Linked DNA regions of Saccharomyces cerevisiae S288C. The protein of the gene in region 1 purifies or fractionates together with the protein of each later gene. This does not show direct contact. Each region holds a gene or a part of one and is shown on either strand. Other genes may lie near its edges. The genes, in order: PBP4 and LSM12.

Region 1 (16,763 bases):
AATTCATTTACGTTCCTTTTTTCTCTTGCGCTTGAGATTGTTAGATTGTTAAATTACTACTGCTTTGTTTTTCCATCCGATTAGTATAATCAACAGATGAAAAAATGAAAAAAAGAAAACAAAATCAACATAACTTGCACAAGATTGAGCCATCGGAAAATAAAGCCCATTGTAATTCATATAACTAAACATCATATCAAGTGCGATTGGTCTGCAAAATCGTGCTTAACATTCCGAGACACAACGTAAATCCCAGAAACACAAGCATGTCTAACCAAATATACTCAGCGAGATATTCGGGGGTTGATGTTTATGAATTCATTCATTCTACAGGATCTATCATGAAAAGGAAAAAGGATGATTGGGTCAATGCTACACATATTTTAAAGGCCGCCAATTTTGCCAAGGCTAAAAGAACAAGGATTCTAGAGAAGGAAGTACTTAAGGAAACTCATGAAAAAGTTCAGGGTGGATTTGGTAAATATCAGGGTACATGGGTCCCACTGAACATAGCGAAACAACTGGCAGAAAAATTTAGTGTCTACGATCAGCTGAAACCGTTGTTCGACTTTACGCAAACAGATGGGTCTGCTTCTCCACCTCCTGCTCCAAAACATCACCATGCCTCGAAGGTGGATAGGAAAAAGGCTATTAGAAGTGCAAGTACTTCCGCAATTATGGAAACAAAAAGAAACAACAAGAAAGCCGAGGAAAATCAATTTCAAAGCAGCAAAATATTGGGAAATCCCACGGCTGCACCAAGGAAAAGAGGTAGACCGGTAGGATCTACGAGGGGAAGTAGGCGGAAGTTAGGTGTCAATTTACAACGTTCTCAAAGTGATATGGGATTTCCTAGACCGGCGATACCGAATTCTTCAATATCGACAACGCAACTTCCCTCTATTAGATCCACCATGGGACCACAATCCCCTACATTGGGTATTCTGGAAGAAGAAAGGCACGATTCTCGACAGCAGCAGCCGCAACAAAATAATTCTGCACAGTTCAAAGAAATTGATCTTGAGGACGGCTTATCAAGCGATGTGGAACCTTCACAACAATTACAACAAGTTTTTAATCAAAATACTGGATTTGTACCCCAACAACAATCTTCCTTGATACAGACACAGCAAACAGAATCAATGGCCACGTCCGTATCTTCCTCTCCTTCATTACCTACGTCACCGGGCGATTTTGCCGATAGTAATCCATTTGAAGAGCGATTTCCCGGTGGTGGAACATCTCCTATTATTTCCATGATCCCGCGTTATCCTGTAACTTCAAGGCCTCAAACATCGGATATTAATGATAAAGTTAACAAATACCTTTCAAAATTGGTTGATTATTTTATTTCCAATGAAATGAAGTCAAATAAGTCCCTACCACAAGTGTTATTGCACCCACCTCCACACAGCGCTCCCTATATAGATGCTCCAATCGATCCAGAATTACATACTGCCTTCCATTGGGCTTGTTCTATGGGTAATTTACCAATTGCTGAGGCGTTGTACGAAGCCGGAACAAGTATCAGATCGACAAATTCTCAAGGCCAAACTCCATTGATGAGAAGTTCCTTATTCCACAATTCATACACTAGAAGAACTTTCCCTAGAATTTTCCAGCTACTGCACGAGACCGTATTTGATATCGATTCGCAATCACAAACAGTAATTCACCATATTGTGAAACGAAAATCAACAACACCTTCTGCAGTTTATTATCTTGATGTTGTGCTATCTAAGATCAAGGATTTTTCCCCACAGTATAGAATTGAATTACTTTTAAACACACAAGACAAAAATGGCGATACCGCACTTCATATTGCTTCTAAAAATGGAGATGTTGTTTTTTTTAATACACTGGTCAAAATGGGTGCATTAACTACTATTTCCAATAAGGAAGGATTAACCGCCAATGAAATAATGAATCAACAATATGAGCAAATGATGATACAAAATGGTACAAATCAACATGTCAATTCTTCAAACACGGACTTGAATATCCACGTTAATACAAACAACATTGAAACGAAAAATGATGTTAATTCAATGGTAATCATGTCGCCTGTTTCTCCTTCGGATTACATAACCTATCCATCTCAAATTGCCACCAATATATCAAGAAATATTCCAAATGTAGTGAATTCTATGAAGCAAATGGCTAGCATATACAACGATCTTCATGAACAGCATGACAACGAAATAAAAAGTTTGCAAAAAACTTTAAAAAGCATTTCTAAGACGAAAATACAGGTAAGCCTAAAAACTTTAGAGGTATTGAAAGAGAGCAGTAAAGATGAAAACGGCGAAGCTCAGACTAATGATGACTTCGAAATTTTATCTCGTCTACAAGAACAAAATACTAAGAAATTGAGAAAAAGGCTCATACGATACAAACGGTTGATAAAACAAAAGCTGGAATACAGGCAAACGGTTTTATTGAACAAATTAATAGAAGATGAAACTCAGGCTACCACCAATAACACAGTTGAGAAAGATAATAATACGCTGGAAAGGTTGGAATTGGCTCAAGAACTAACGATGTTGCAATTACAAAGGAAAAACAAATTGAGTTCCTTGGTGAAGAAATTTGAAGACAATGCCAAGATTCATAAATATAGACGGATTATCAGGGAAGGTACGGAAATGAATATTGAAGAAGTAGATAGTTCGCTGGATGTAATACTACAGACATTGATAGCCAACAATAATAAAAATAAGGGCGCAGAACAGATCATCACAATCTCAAACGCGAATAGTCATGCATAAAATATACATAAATAGAGGAACTTTACATGTATCCATATACTGAAAAATAGATAAAACAATGAGATAATATTTATTAACTTCTACGTAAATAAAAAGTTACATAAGGATCAACCTTTTTTTCTTTATTTTCTTTTTTTTTTTTATTTTTCATTTTCAATTACAAACTAAGACATAACAGTAAGCAGTGCTTTTTCTGTGCATGTTTTCCTCTTTTTATAATGATATTGGCTAAAATAAAATTAACAAAAACAGATGAGTGATATAGATTATATTCATTACAGTTCGTTTTCCTAACTCACATAATAATAGCTTCCTTTGGAACATTATCGGAGATAGACTTATGAGGTAAGACTTTACCACCGTTGATGTAGATTTCGTCCTTAACTTCAACGTCGTCACCCAAGACAGTGACACCTTCCAAACGACACCATTGACCAACGGTAGAGTTCCAGCCTACGATGGTAGATTTGACCAAGGAGTGGTTCTTGATGGTGGAGTTGCACAAAACAACAGATCTGGTGATTCTAACACCATCACCGATGGTGACATTAGGACCGATAACCACGTCTGGGCCAATCTTAGCAGTGGAGGAAATCTTAGCGGTTGGGTCGATCAAGGCATTACCAACAATGTTGGCACCTGTAGCCAATTTTTTTGGTTGTCTCTTGGCCAAAGAGTTCAAGTAAAGAACGGTACCAGACAAGAAGTCCTTTGGTTGACCAACATCCATCCAGAAACCTTCCAAATCGAAGGAATATAGTTGTTTTTCTTCGACCAAGATTGGGAAAGTTTCCTTTTCAATTGAAGTTGGCTTCATTTCAATCAAGTCAATGACTTCTGGGTTTAAAATGTACAAACCGGCGTTAATTCTGTTACCAACAAATTCCTTTGGCTTTTCAACAAATCTGTCAATCAAGTTTGGAGTAGCTATATCATGGACAATGACACCGTATTTAGAAGGTTCGTCGACCTTGGTAGCAACAATGGTACCTTTACCACCGTGAGCTTTGTGGAAGTCAGCCAATTCCTTGAATGGATATTCGCAAATGACGTCGGAGTTTAGGACGAAAAATGGAGAGTTGTCCTTCTTCAAAACATCTTCAGCCAATTTCAATGGACCTGCAGTACCTAATGGTTCAGTTTCTACAGAGAAAGTGATGTTAACACCATATTCCTTTTCGTACTTCTTCAAAGTTTCCACCATGACTTCTGGTCTGTAATTAACAGCAAGAACGATGTCAGTAACACCAGCGTTGGCTAAAGCCTCGATTTGGTGTAAAATCATTGGTCTATTACCGAATTCAACCAGTGGCTTTGGAACGGTCAAAGTTAAAGGTCTCAATCTGGTACCGTAACCACCGACTAAAATTAAACCTTTCATTTTTCAATTATATATGTTTTATTTGTTGAAGTTGTAGCTTGTCTTGTGCTGATAATATTTTGTTTGTATAGTCAACAAAATATTTGGACAGAAGAAAAGAGTTAGCGAATGTAAAGTAGTTTGCACACTTGATGAACGTTATCAAAGTCAAAGAGGTGAGAACAAGATAGACAAAGAAAAAAAAAATACAGTTTTGGAGAAAAGAAAACAAGACTATGTGAAACTTCTAACAATGACGTGAAAAGTCTACTATATATATGTTTACAAGAGCGCCACGAGGCAAGGAAAAAAAGAAAACAAAGCGAGAAACCACCAGCTTACTTTACTACCGGTCAGCTGTGGTTCTGTGTCTGTTCGTCTGTTTGTTTGTTTGTTTGTTTATTGCTGCGCTGTTCATGCTGAAAAACGACAAAAACAAAGAAAAAAAAGTTTTTCAGAGATTGAGATAAAAATAAACGTGGTGGCTCCCGAGGCATTTCTAGCTGGCCAGCAAGTACACGGTGGCCGTTTCTTTTGGCGTTTTTTTTTTCTGTTTTCGCGTTCTTCATGCTGTGCGTTGCTGGTGAGGTGGCGTGGACGGTTTGGTTTAGGCAATGATAGAAAAAGCTATAGTCAGAGTTGCAGGAAAGGACGAAAGTAGTCCATTTGGTGCCGTTATCCAAGGGTCTTGCTCTTAGTCTTGCTTTTCACCCAGCACGCGGTAAGAAGGATCGGGTGCAGCATGAAGAATGCTGACTGTACGCGTTTCGATTTGAAGCTTTAGGATGTTCTGTGGGTTGGGTTGGCTCGATCGACAGTGCGTATAGTGACCTTTGAACTGTACCGGGTGGCACGTCGTGCACAGAATCAGAAGTAGTTATAAAAGATTTGTAATTGCGTATATGCAACCAAGTTTAGGCTTTCTCCGTGCCGTTTTTTAAGGTGAAATGTACTCCTCTTGAAAATGTAAAAAAATGGAGCCTCGCAGAGCAGCTTGCCAAGCAGGTTGATACAAGGTGAGCCGCCGAAACATAACGATAAACGTGGTATAGTTTTCGATTGCCTTTAGTTTGGGTGGTCTCAGTGCTGGCACCTGACGAACTATTCGTAGGCAGGAGAACTTGCATCATGTGGTGTTCTTCCGAGATAGGGATGCCGTTTGGTCCTTACGAAAGTCAATGTTCTGGTACTACTAATTATTAACATAGTTCGTTGTATACACACTCTTTACTTTCATAAGAAATAAAAAGCACGTCTAAGAAATCTCTACGTCTTGGCTGCGGCAAGCAACTGCATAGAAAGCACATAGTAGTAACTCTAAAATGCGAGCTTCATACAGACAATTACATAAATGCAACATAGGCAGCATGGGATCCTGGGTTTCATATCGTCAAAGAAAGCCACCAACTGGCTTTACCATAAAAATACGAAAAGAAGTGCACACATTCTTCTTTTTGGCTCATCACAAGTTCTTCAATTTACTGTCATTACTTTTGTTTCCTTGTCAGATAATGTATGGGTGGTGTGTACACCAAGGTATTTTTTTTTTTACTTGGCAGATCTGCAATGCATAATAGAATGGTAAGGGAACGAGTAACAGACGGGAAGCGAATGCGAACACAAAGAATATAAATTTGAAATCTCCTGTTGCAAAGGATTCTCTAGACATTTACTATCTCAGTGACAATTCTCGAGTGAAACAAGAAATTGAGATGGTAGGTCAGCGCCCATACTTCTTGAATCAATTGGAGGAGCGGATAAAGCAAGTTTCCCCCCTCAATGTAAATCATCTTAAGCAAAATTTTAAAATCTAGGCACATATAAAGAGAAAATGGGAATGATTTTGCTGGATAGGCTACAGTGTTAGGAATGCAGAATTAGGAACTATAGATGATGCGATTAAAGATATTAAACGAGAAGTGACAGTGGTGGCTTCGACAACGGCAGTCGTGCTCGGTCGACAACGTGTATGTTTTTGCCGAGCAGAGCAGGGAAAGTCCTTCTTTCTGCGCGTGAATCAAAACACATTGGTATCGAATTTAACATATCTGGGTGAGGAATGGACAATCCTAATAAAGTACTGGAGGTTTGTCTGTATTTCCAAGTTCTTGCTTGTAGAAACTGCTTTCTTTTCTCTTTTCCTGCAGCGGTCGAACATATGTGATTATTGATTAGCCATTTGTTCCAAGTCATATAGTAGTATTACGTGTTCAGATGCGGTGTTAGCGTATCTTTTTGTTAAATAAAATATCATTGTGCCGTTGCCGCCCTACCTGCCAAGGGTCAAAGAAGGCACCTTTATACGATGCCACCTTTTTATAGTATTCTACTACAGAGTCATCGTTCACCAGTTACTGTTCATTCTACTAAATTAGTATGGCGTGTTGCATAGAAGGAAGCATGAATTACAAGATCAGTAGAACAAAAAGTTCAACTGTTTGGAATTTAGTTGAACATGTGACGAAAGCTCTGCTACTAAGACAGGGGCAAAAAATAACAATATGTAAGCATAAGAAATGGGTCAATGTTGGGATACTTGGTGAATTCCGTTCTTTTTAGAAGCGGATTTTCTTATTCGTTTATATGTTGCCATTCATTACCCTATCATATTATGAATCTTCACATTTTATTTTCCATAAGATCTGATGACTGTTTCCCAATCACCTTACATCATATATGATAATGTACAATTGATATGAAGAATAGCAGTCGATGGATGATATTTTATTCTTATTATCAACATGTACAAAGTGTTGGAACGGTAAAGACCAGTGCAAATCTGATAAAACTTTAAAATAACATGGACAAATTTATGTCCAGGATTCTCCGAAGAACTCATCCTTGTTAGCTCAGTTGGTAGAGCGTTCGGCTTTTAAGCGCATTTGCTTAAGCAAGGATACCGAAATGTCAGGGGTTCGAGCCCCCTATGAGGAGTTCTTTCTTTTTTTCTCTCAATTTTTAACCGGTACCTTTAAAAGGGTATCAAAAACAATAGCATAGCATAAAAGAAATAAGTGCAATTTATTGGTGTCATTTATATAAGCTATGAATTTTAAAAAAAATAAATGTAGCAGTTTCTTTTTTGTTTAAATTCTGAGTTTTCTACTTTTTAATTTCCAAAATACTACAGCTGAAAGAACAGCGGATACAACGAATGCGATACTGCTGTACTTGTAGACAGCCGAAATACAGGACGGATTTCGCAGATCTCCTCCGCCACTCATACAGCGAGAATCGTAAAATTTGGCATACAACATGCAAAATATCATAGAACCTATAGCAGGTGCAATTAGTAAGCTACCGTAAACAGTCCCGAATGAGCGTTCGCCCCATACTAACAGGACCAGCGTCGGATAAACAGTGAAAAGTCCACCGTATACAATTCCAACCAATGATCCTGTAGGTACTAGCCCCCAGGGTGACGCTGAAGAGGTCATTTTCAATAAAAACAGTTGTGCACATACCCCTAATGAAAGGAAAGTCAACAGGATCCATTTAATTGATATTTTTTTCTTGGCGAAGAAGTCTGCCACTATGCCTGTGAGCAATCTCGTAAAAGTGGAAGATAGCGCGTATGTGGATAACAACTTTGTAGATAAGGTTGGCGCATCTAATTGGACTAGCAGGTTAGTCAGTGATCCCATATTGGCAATAAACATCTCGAGGGGCCCAAGTGATAACAAAATTGATACCGCTAGGATATATGTCACAGGATCACTAAAGATCCTTAGCATCGTCTGCGTAAACTTTTCTTGAACATGATTACTTCGTTCTAACAGCGGTGATTGTTCCACATCAGTTTGATCATCCAGCCGTTTTTGGTTGTCTTGCTCTTCATTAAAATGCAAAAGTGATACCACGCTGGTGGCTATCCATGCAAGTAGCCCAATAACGACATAAACGAGGGCAAATGTTTGGAATACTCTTCCCAGGTTTAAGTCACTATTGGACGAGGAAGAACTTGCGTTAGAGGACCAGAACCATTTGATTCTTAGCAGTTGAGAACCGACTACAGAAGAAATACCATAACATGTCGTTGGTAAGCTAATGGATAGTAGTTTTGTATGAGGATATAGCTTAGTGCATGTCAGTAAAGCGCTAAAGTATAAAGCGCTTGTTGATATACCTATGAAAACGAAACAAATGATGGATAGATTGAATGATGAGTCACCATTTCCTCCGAGAGATAACTCCGGATGATTAAAAACGTAAGCCAGATATGAATAGCTAGGTATGAACCCTATGATGGCTAAAAGACTTAAAGTAATGGGGCCATGAGAATCAGCGATCATCCCCAAGATTGGTGGCGTCAAGTACATCCCCAAATTAGTCATACTAGCGATGGTGTTGATTTGCCATGAGGAATAATTTAAATGTTTCTGCCACGGTTGAGAGTAAAGAGATATCAAAGTAATGAAGCCAGTTGACACCGCAGATAATAGCGAAAAGATGTATGCAACACGATGTGATGACTGAAGAGACAAAACATGGGGTAAGAGTAAGCGCGTATGGTATGAAAGGTAGTGCTCCACCTTTGATAGAGGCATGATTTGCACTTGGAAAATGGTTATTGCTATAAAATGATATGAAAGGAAACTAGTCTCGATGAAACGTTAGAAGTTGCTGTCTGAGTAGCGGTCTCTGTTATCTTGTATTTACACTGTATAATAGTTTTTCTTGTAGGGCAAAAAGAAAGGTACTAATTTCCGAACGATGCGAAAAGCCGCTAGCATCGGAAAGGCTAAGTGAACTATGCAATAAAGACTAAGAGAAAAAGCAAAGAAAGGCGTCTTAACACAGTATACATTTTTCGACATTATGAATTATAAAATTTTTATTTACGCTTGTAAAATAATATTTTCATTTCTTCTATTTTCCTCTTTTCTTCGTTTTCTTGACTTCATACTTCATTTTTTGTTTGACTCCTTTTTGCGTTATGAAACGTGATGCTTCGATATTCTCATTGGTTTCTTAAAACTTTAGCAATATCGGACAAACAGCCGTATTTTTTATTCTTATTTTTACTGCTTGATACAGTACCCCAGTCAGTGGCTGTTGAAACTCTGCCACTTGCCGTTTCTGATAGTACTTGCTTATAAGTTTTCATTGAATGACTTTTTTCACCAGCGGTATAGCTCTGAAATAATTTGTGCATATACGATCTAACTTCTTCTCTATTGTAAGGTTGTTTATTCGCTCTTTTAAATTTCTTATTTGTGGATGATCCATTGGCGGTGGAACTACCCTTTATATTAGCAGGCGGCGCGGTAGATGCGATGGTTTTAGTCTTCGTATTAGCAGGTTGTACAGCCACGGAATCATCTTTTCGTGCCTGCTGTTGCTGTTGCTGTTGCCTTGGAAGGGCTTTGGCAGCTGCCTGCGCCCAACCTGTTAATTTTGGCTTCTGAGGAAGCACAGCGGGCGTTGGACCATTTGAATTTGGACCTGAAGCAGATAAAGTAGCCTTCAAAGTCGAGGAGGTTCTGCCATCTACACTGGTTGTTGAGGTTGTTGTCATTTCGTACTAGATTAAAGGGAAAATTGTATCGTAAATAAGTAATAAAGTTAATGAAAATTCGGAAACAAAAATGGATAGATATTAAACAGTGAACAAATGAAAAATTTCAGAAAAAAAGAATTAAAAAAAAAAAGGGAAAAAATATGCACAAGATCGTATTATTTGTTGTTCCTCGTATTTTTCTTTCTATTTAGTCTCACATTTTTGACACATGCCTGGTGTTATATATACATTACAATGGAAAGTTCTTTTCTCTTTCTCCGAATAAAGTAGCGGTCTATTGATCACTTCTTACGCTGGGTATATGAGTCGTAATAAATAAAATCATCAGAATCATTCGTAAGTCATTTTACTTTTTTAAAAAGATAATTACAGTTTTTGGGTCTATATACTACTCTAAAAATGTGGTGGTGGCTTAATGCATCTTTTTTACAGATGAACCTTCGTTATGGGTATTGACATCGTTGCTAATGCTGACAGAAGGCACAGGCTCATTCTTGATTTTCTTGTTCACTTTCTTGTCATGTTGAAGAGCGGCATACTCAATAGCTTGTGGTGGGAGGGTTGTATCGTTGATGGCGGGAGAGTAGCCAATCTCCTTCAAAGTGTCAACCATTTGATCTCTAACTTTTTCAGCAAATTCACCAATTTTGTCCTTTGTTAAGTTCTCGGTTGAAATAGGTTTTAAAATTCTAACAATCATACAGCCTCTGTTGAAGACCCCATATTTAGGACTTACTAAAGTACTGGTATTGGAAACAACCACTGGAACAATGGGGATCTTACCCTGTTGTGCCAAATGGAAAGCACCCTTCTTGAAAGGCAACATTGTCAGCTCACTCGTGTAAGACCTGGTACCCTCAGGAAAAACCCATAGAGCACGCTTGTTTTTCTTAACATTTTCTAAACCTTTATTCAAGGTGTCAATGGCTTCTTGCCTTTTAGATCTGTCTAAGAAATATGTACCACTCAAAGCCATGAACCAACCCAGAAAGGGGACGTATTTCAAAGACTTCTTGGCAGTAACTGTGCAACCAGGGGGGAAAATCCTACCTAACATGAAGATATCCAAGGTGGATTGGTGATTGGCAATCATAATATATGGCTTCTTGGCCAAATTCTCCTCGCCAACGACCTTGACGTCAAGGCCAAGCATCAATTTCATGACATGGTAAAAACAACGCGCAGTAATCCACTGAGCCAAATGTTGCTTACCGATTAACGTGCAAAGGATAGAGGCGATTACACCGTAAAAGCCACAGCCTGCAAGCGCCAGTACGACCAACACGGACCTCAAGTAATACAAGAACCTACCTATCACACTCATTATTTTTTTGCTCGAATTCACTGACGGAGGGAAACCACTAAACTTCTCTATTGAAGAATTCCCCCTTCACCTTAAACCCTTCCTAATATAAGTATTTTGAACACCATACCATATTCTCAACAAAACAAAGGAAGCATAATTGATATCATCATTCACGAGATCCATCTCGTGACCGTGAAAAAATTTTCGTCTTCGTCTTAGTGTAATGTGTTCAGCCCAACCTCATCGCAATATCTCAAGATTTTTGAATTACAACCAAATCAAAAGCACAGAGTCGCATCTCATCGCTATGATGTATTTTTTTCTTTTTCCAAAAAATGGGTTCTATTTGGTTCTACTGGAACTAAAGTAGCATCTGCAAAGAAGTAATGTCTGAAAAACCACAACAAGAGGAGCAAGAGAAACCACAATCAAGACGTAATTCATTTGCTGTGATTGAATTTACTCCAGAAGTCTTGGACAGATGTTTAAAGCAAGTGGAATTCTACTTTTCTGAATTCAACTTTCCATATGACAGGTTCTTGCGCACAACAGCGGAAAAAAACGATGGATGGGTCCCCATCAGCACCATCGCCACATTCAACCGTATGAAGAAATATAGACCAGTGGATAAGGTTATCGAAGCACTACGTAGTTCTGAAATTTTGGAAGTATCTGCTGATGGAGAGAACGTCAAGAGACGTGTTCCTTTGGACCTAACTGCTGCCAGAAATGCCAGAATTGAGCAAAACCAACGGACTTTGGCTGTAATGAATTTCCCACATGAGGACGTTGAAGCTTCCCAAATTCCTGAATTGCAGGAGAACTTGGAAGCCTTTTTCAAAAAATTAGGTGAAATCAACCAAGTGCGTTTGAGAAGAGATCACAGAAACAAGAAATTTAATGGTACGGTCTTGGTGGAATTTAAGACAATTCCAGAATGTGAAGCTTTTTTGAAATCGTATTCCAATGACGATGAGTCCAACGAAATTTTGTCATATGAAGGTAAGAAACTGAGTGTTTTGACGAAAAAACAGTTTGATTTACAGAGAGAGGCCTCGAAGTCCAAAAACTTCAGCGGTAGATCAAGATCCTTTAACGGCCATAAGAAGAAAAACTTGCCTAAATTCCCCAAAAATAAGAAGAAAAACGGCAAGGAAGAGTCAAAAGAGGACTCTTCTGCCATTGCCGATGACGATGAGGAGCACAAGGAGTGATTCTTGTGTTTCTTCTGGTTCTCGTATCTCATTATCATAGCATATTAAGAATATATGTACTAACATATGTACTAAACAGAAACACAATATGAATTACAACTAATACTATATTATTTGTCTCCTTTTTTTATTAGTATTAAAAATTACCGTTACTGGTTAAAATGGAATACAGCTCATCCATTTAAAAAAAAAAAAAAATAGAATAACAATAATTAAGCAGAAAAAATGTTAACGAATATAATAAATCGATTTGTCCATTTTCATAAATTTTTTTTTTGTATTATTTCATTATCTGTGCCTCAAAGCATTAACTTTTCTTGCAGTCAGAGAGAGTCTCTTGCGTGGATTATACCAACCGCCATTATCAGCCGGCATAGGGGCCGGCGTAGCATAGTTACTATCAGCTGTAATTATGTATGACCACCCTGGTGTTACGGTAGTATGTTGATCAACGGAGTTTCTTAAAGTGTAGTAATACGTTACCTCACTGGTCGCGTACTTCCTTTTCCATGTCTTTGCTGTTACCTTAGTAGCCGGTTGGAGTTGCATGGGAGCATATTTCACAACACCTGTTTGTAAGTTGTAGGGAACGGTGAAACTCTTAGAATCAATCGTGGCACCCACATCTCCTGTGGTAATTCTTGTTTGTGCCTCTGGTGCAATGGTTATCATACTCGGATTAGCGGCTTTTGTACCAATCATCCCTTTTAGTTTAAATCTGTTAGTGTAATGAATGGTGTAACCGATAGCTGTTTGCGCAAAGACTTGTATGAAGTAAACACCGTCCGTCCCAACGGTGTTTTCTATTATCGCATTGAACTCGTTGTCTGTCAGATCACTCGCACTGAGTGTTTGAAGAGTAGCCATTGCTTCTATCATGGCATTGGTACCCGAACACAGAGTAAACGTGTATCTGACAAAATCCTTTTCCTGTGGTGTGTTATCTGTATGCATCCACTTTACTTTGACAACAGCCTGACTTGTACCAGATAAATCATAAACTGAGTTGGGTTCTGGAGCCACAATGGCCACATCACAATAAGCTGTTCGGAACACTACCGAACAAAATAATGTTAAGAATAATACTATCAGCATACGTTTTACGTAATTGATTTTTTATTATTGTTACCTACCTAAGAAGTCGACGTAATACTTGTATACTTTACTTTTTACTTCTGTGCAACTTTCATCGATACGTTTTTATAAATTTACGTAACTAACTACCTCATGTAATATTATACATGAACGAGCACATAATGTCCAATGTCCCTTACATGTTCGTACTTTCAAAAAAGAAAGAAGAAAATTGGTGAAGAGGAAATGTGCTTTTCTGTTGGAGTTGGTCAACAATATGATGAGGAAGAAGGGAAAGCCGCAAAGACTGGATTTACGCAATGGACTACATTCTCATGTGAAAAAAAGAAGTGCTGCTTCGAAGGTTCGCGACCCTTTCAAGGGACTCGCCGCGATGCAGAGAAAAAAAAAAGAAGAGATAACGTGGGGGCAGCTAAAAAAAGACGAATCGATAATGAGTCCATGACTTGAGCCGGACGGACTTATAATTCGATTCGGGCCTAGGCTTGTACAGCTGAAATAGTGTACAATATAAGGAACTAAACGATCGGAGACCAATCGGAGAGCCGGCAGTTGAATCAGGTGCTTCATCACTGGCATAACCTATCCGCAAACGGCTGATGCAGGTCTCAACGCCCTTCTGGTAAAATCAAAAAAAGTAAAAAAAACGGCTCATGCCAGCTTGCTTCCTGTCAATAGCGGTTGTTGATTTTTTCGCTTCATGCCTAAAAAGAGAAACGAGACACAGAGAGAAAACAAGAATCTAGATTAATAACGTAGGGCAGCGTAACAATAATTTACGCAGAAATGATGTGTATTATTAGGGCATAAATAAATAAATGTATGTATGTGTGTGTATGTATGAGTCGGTGAATGACTTTGGTTTTAGTGATATGAGTAGCCACATCCTTTCCCCACGTGCTTATTTAGCCAGACGTCAACGTTCGGAAATTGCAGTCCACAATGCTTGCACTTCCCCGGCACAACACCTCTATCTTCTTTCTTGGTCTTGGGCGGGTACTCGAAATGCAAAGCCTTTAGGTGATTCTTGAAAGTATCACAGCGCGAAAAAACGCCCGTTTGATGACAGTTTATTGGCTCGAAATAGAGTGATCTAGACTTGTGTGGATACACCTCCATATCCAAATTGATCAGAGTAGAGTTGTAAGGACACTTGAATGCACCTTTAATCTTGTATAGTGATTTCAATTGGTTTTTCTTCAGTAGTTTTGTTTCTTCGGAAGAGGATGAGGCAGCGAGTTTATCGTTTGAGTCGTCGCTGTCGTTGTTTGCGGAGGTGCGGGCAGTGTCATCTTGATCGTCAGCACCACTATTGTTGTCGGACTCCCTTGCGTATATTTGCATAAATTCATCTTTCCAATGGCGCTTCTTGTGCCTTATCAGATCATTGTTCCTGGCAAAGCCGCGTTGACAGATAGGGCACTTATGCGGTCTGTCCTCCGGAGTTAAATGAGTGGATTTATGCGTAGATAGGTTGGCGTAGAAGTTGTGGCAGATGGGGCATTCCTTTTTCTTTCTTTGCTTCGTTATCTTGGCGGAATCCTTTAAAGACGATGAATACCTGCTTGTATGTTCATTAGTCAATGGGGAATGAATAGACGGTAGTGCAGAGGCACTACTACTACTGTTGAGTTGCTGTTGCTGTTGTTGTTTGACGATCAAAGGTGGGAATCCACTAACGGGTAGGCTGGACACGGATTTTGATCTCGGTACGTTATCTACCGCGGTTGGCAATATACTCTGGTGTTGAGTTGGTGGTGAGGGGGTGATGGTTTTGAAACCCGTTGTGTTGTTAGGGTTGCAAAATGTTAGCTCATGTCTGTGATGATCTAGCACTGTTCTTGGCACCGGTGATGTAAAATTGGCATGCAAGGAATTTGATCTGCCGTTAAATTCTCTTTCTGCAACTGTAATTAAATTGGTGAAGGAGGATATGGGTGGCAAAATGACATGGCTTGAGCTGTTGGATGACAGCGGTGTTGGAGAAAGGCTATGAGGGAAATAGCATTTGGAATTATGTGCCAAGGCTGTATTGTCTGTAGGCGAACTCGTGATAGACTGGCATGCAGAGGAGTTATAAGAAGAGTATGATGTAGTTAATGGGGGAGGTGGAGGAGAATTCAGTGTAGAACTGAGGGTAGAGCGCGAAGACGACGTAGTACTGGACAACAATGGCAGTGATGGATCTATCAAATGGTGAATGGTGCCATTGGGAGAAGCCGTTGGGTTTGGCATTTTTTCTGGAGTATCTATAAAGGGAGGGTTTCTCCGTAAAGACATCGTCTCATGGGACATTACTGAGTCAATGCTTGATGCAAAAGATGATGATACCAGCATAGGGGAAGCCAAAGAAAAGAAGTAACAAATATTCCAAGCGCTCCAGTGTTACAGCTACTGCAAACCAAGAAAAGCAACTGACAAGAATTAGATATCCTAATCATAGGGCACCGAATTTACTTCCATGTTTTTTCCAGCTCCACTTAGAATATATATATAAATGTATAAAGACGGAAATATGCGCTTTTGAGAAATAGACAGAATAAAGAACGCACTGATGCAGCTTTAACTTTTAAGAAATGGTGCTTTTTTTTTCGCCCTCTGTTCCTCTGCGGATGGGAGCTATCAGTAGTAGAAAACAAAAGGAAACGAAGAAAAAAAATTGGAAAAGGGAAGAGTAAAACAGCGAGGAGAGCATTACGTACATAAAATAGGTTTAAGTAACCATACCACTAACAATGCCCCTAGGAAGTGACAATCTAGAGATATCCTTGAGAGTTAGCCACGGGCCGTAAGGGAAGGAAAAGACCAATCTAGCAATAAGCGCATGGGGGGTTTCCGACAGCCACTACCAAATTGTGTGGCAGCCAAGCGAGAATCAATGCGGCTATTTGAGATCTGTTCTTTTTCTATTCAAAGACTCGAATGAGGCCAACGAAAGAAGTAGTAAAAAAAATCCGGGATTCCCAATTCAGGTCATATCCGGCAAGACATTCCCGGATTTTATTTTCCTCAATGTGCTCGTGTAAGTGTCGGCCCGGAACTTGATTCCCCCCGGACTAATTAGAAGTTCCGAGAACGCGCGCAAGCCGTCCCGCGCGTAGAAGGCTAAAAAGCAGCCGGAGGAAAAAAAATAACGCAAATGTGGGCTCCCCTTCCCCTGTGCGGCCACGTCGTGCCTCCCCACCATTTGCCTCATATGCGGCCATTGCGTGTGGTGTTTTTTCTGCTCTTGTCACTGATTTTAACTACCGCGGGGTTTGACTAACAAGCAAATTGCAAAGCCGCGGCGGTTCCCGGAAAAAAAAAAAGGAAGGCCACGCTATTGGTAACCATGAAGTGTAAGGCGACGCAGGAGAGATGAAAAGAATGAAATTAAAAGAAATCCAAAAAAAAAAAAAAAAAAAAAAAAGAAAAAGAAAGAAAAAGGGGGAATAACACAGCCGCGGGTAACATGAAGCGGCGCGAGCGATACTTCCGTGTTAAGTGATATCCATCTTTC
Region 2 (2,731 bases), on another chromosome or scaffold:
TTTGAAAAAAATTTGATTGATGATATTTTGAAGTTTTTAAATGAGGAAGAGCTAGCAAAGTCACAAGATGCTAAACAGAATGCAGATGTAACTAGAATGCTTGACATAGATGTAAAAGACAAGAAAGAAAGTAACAAAGATGAGATTTTTGAATTAAGAGATTTTATCGTAAACCCTTCGTTCAATACCAAACTTAGGAAATTGCATGACACTTATCAGGGCGTTTGGCAAAAAAAAACTGAGTACAATGCTTTATTAAAAGGTTTTTTTGTTGGCGACCTAGGTGCTAAGACTTTCACCTTGAAGGAAAGGCAAAACGGTGAGTATGCCCTCCATGTGACAGGAACAGCCTCTAGTTTAAAGAAAATTGATGAGTTAATTAGTAAATCGACGGAGTACCACGGAAGTTGCTTCCATATTTTGCAAAAATCAAGCCAAACACGATGGTTGAGTCACAAAATTTGGACAGACTTGGGGCACGAGTTGGAATTATTAAATTTAAAGATTAGGAATGAAGAGGCTAATATTATTGATCTTTTTAAAAGGAAATTTATTGATAGAAGTAACGAGGTCAGACAAGTTGCAACTACACTGGGCTATCTTGATACCTTATCGTCCTTTGCTGTGTTAGCTAACGAGAGAAATTTAGTCTGCCCAAAAGTGGATGAGAGCAATAAACTAGAAGTAGTGAATGGGAGACATCTAATGGTTGAAGAGGGTCTTTCCGCGCGCTCTTTGGAGACATTCACGGCCAATAACTGCGAATTGGCGAAGGACAATTTATGGGTAATTACCGGACCGAATATGGGTGGTAAATCTACATTCTTAAGACAGAATGCAATTATAGTCATTCTGGCGCAAATTGGATGTTTTGTTCCATGCAGTAAGGCGCGTGTGGGTATTGTAGATAAGCTTTTTAGCCGAGTTGGTTCAGCAGATGATCTGTACAATGAGATGAGTACGTTCATGGTTGAGATGATAGAAACATCGTTCATCTTGCAAGGAGCTACGGAACGGTCTTTAGCTATTCTAGATGAGATTGGCCGTGGGACTAGTGGTAAAGAAGGCATTAGCATCGCTTATGCAACTTTAAAGTATTTGTTAGAGAACAATCAATGCAGAACGCTTTTTGCTACACATTTTGGTCAAGAACTGAAGCAAATCATTGATAACAAATGTTCGAAAGGAATGAGCGAAAAGGTCAAGTTTTACCAAAGCGGAATCACTGATTTAGGTGGAAACAATTTTTGTTACAACCATAAGTTGAAGCCGGGCATCTGCACGAAATCAGATGCCATTAGAGTTGCGGAATTGGCCGGATTTCCAATGGAAGCGTTAAAAGAAGCCCGCGAAATATTGGGATAACTTTTGAATACAACTATTAATTGTATATAATTTGACATGTAATATAATAAGATGTGGAATCAATTTCCCTGTCTTTTTTTTCAAAAGCGACTGTGAAGATACTTAGAAAATGGCAAAAACGGTAGTTTGCAAATTTCCGTAGTTTGTCGCGCGAATGATATTAGCGGAAACAAAACGATCAAACCTTATACCATGAATATAATGGTGGATATTTATTACGGTAAGGAAACACTCTGAGCCAGGCTTGTAAATAGCGGTTATCTAAGCTTGTAACTAAAGAAATCAATTTGCATCTTTCGTCCATGAGTGTCAGCCTTGAGCAAACGCTCGGATTCAGAATAAAAGTTACGAACGTGTTGGATGTAGTTACTGAAGGAAGATTGTATTCGTTCAATTCATCCAACAACACTCTTACTATCCAAACAACAAAGAAGAATCAATCTCCACAAAACTTCAAGGTGATAAAATGTACATTCATCAAGCATTTGGAAGTCATTGGTGATAAGCCCTCGTTTAACTCATTCAAAAAGCAACAAATCAAACCCTCATATGTCAACGTGGAAAGAGTTGAGAAGCTTTTGAAAGAAAGTGTAATAGCATCTAAAAAGAAAGAACTCTTAAGGGGCAAGGGTGTGAGTGCAGAGGGTCAGTTCATTTTCGATCAAATCTTCAAGACCATAGGAGATACTAAGTGGGTGGCTAAAGACATCATTATTCTTGATGACGTTAAGGTGCAACCTCCATACAAGGTCGAAGATATCAAAGTGCTACATGAGGGAAGTAACCAATCCATTACATTAATTCAAAGAATAGTGGAAAGAAGCTGGGAGCAGCTAGAACAAGACGATGGTAGGAAAGGTGGATAGATTAATTAATGACGGAAACGATAATATACGTTATATATTTTATCCGTACTTCTATAATGTCAACTATTGTTTATAAAGAGATCCATTTGAGTCTACAGATTTTTCTATTTATCAAACTATAATATTCCACCACTCTCTTCTCAGTCGCAATGCTTGGGTGTACGGTGTTTGAATAATTGAATTAGATTTAAATGCGAATAAGTGATGACTAACAAGCAAAAAAATCGAGTATTTCAAGATCCAGTCGAATATAAAATCTTGCTACTGCATTATTCTACGATTTCCTGTTATCACTTATAGTACACATGTCTGAGTTTTTGAATGAAAATCCCGACATTTTAGAGGAGAACCAACTTCCCACTAGAAAAGAAGATAGTACCAAGGACCTTTTGTTAGGCGGGTTCAGCAACGAAGCTACGCTGGAAAGGAGAAGCCTTTTGCTGAAAATAGACCATTCTTTAAAGTCTCAGGTATTGCAAGATATAGAGGTCTTAGACAAG

The links.
Region 2: the proteins of PBP4 (region 1) and LSM12 purify together in Saccharomyces cerevisiae (affinity purification with mass spectrometry; 4 studies listed by BioGRID). This does not show direct contact.

The regions. Positions count from the first base shown.
Region 1 is NC_001136.10:352,611-369,373, forward strand, and holds PBP4 (Pbp4p), read right to left. Parts: upstream 9,647-16,763; coding exon 9,089-9,646; downstream 1-9,088. Other genes in the region: transcription factor MBP1, read left to right, coding at 267-2,768; PSA1 (mannose-1-phosphate guanylyltransferase), read right to left, coding at 3,064-4,149; MCH1 (Mch1p), read right to left, coding at 7,215-8,675; 1-acylglycerol-3-phosphate O-acyltransferase SLC1, read right to left, coding at 10,062-10,973; tRNA maturation protein LHP1, read left to right, coding at 11,342-12,169; KNH1 (Knh1p), read right to left, coding at 12,458-13,264; STP4 (Stp4p), read right to left, coding at 14,129-15,601.
Region 2 is NC_001140.6:351,089-353,819, forward strand, and holds LSM12 (Lsm12p), read left to right. Parts: upstream 1-1,667; coding exon 1,668-2,231; downstream 2,232-2,731. Other genes in the region: mismatch repair ATPase MSH1, read left to right, coding at 1-1,365; iron-sulfur cluster assembly protein CIA2, read left to right, coding at 2,537-2,731.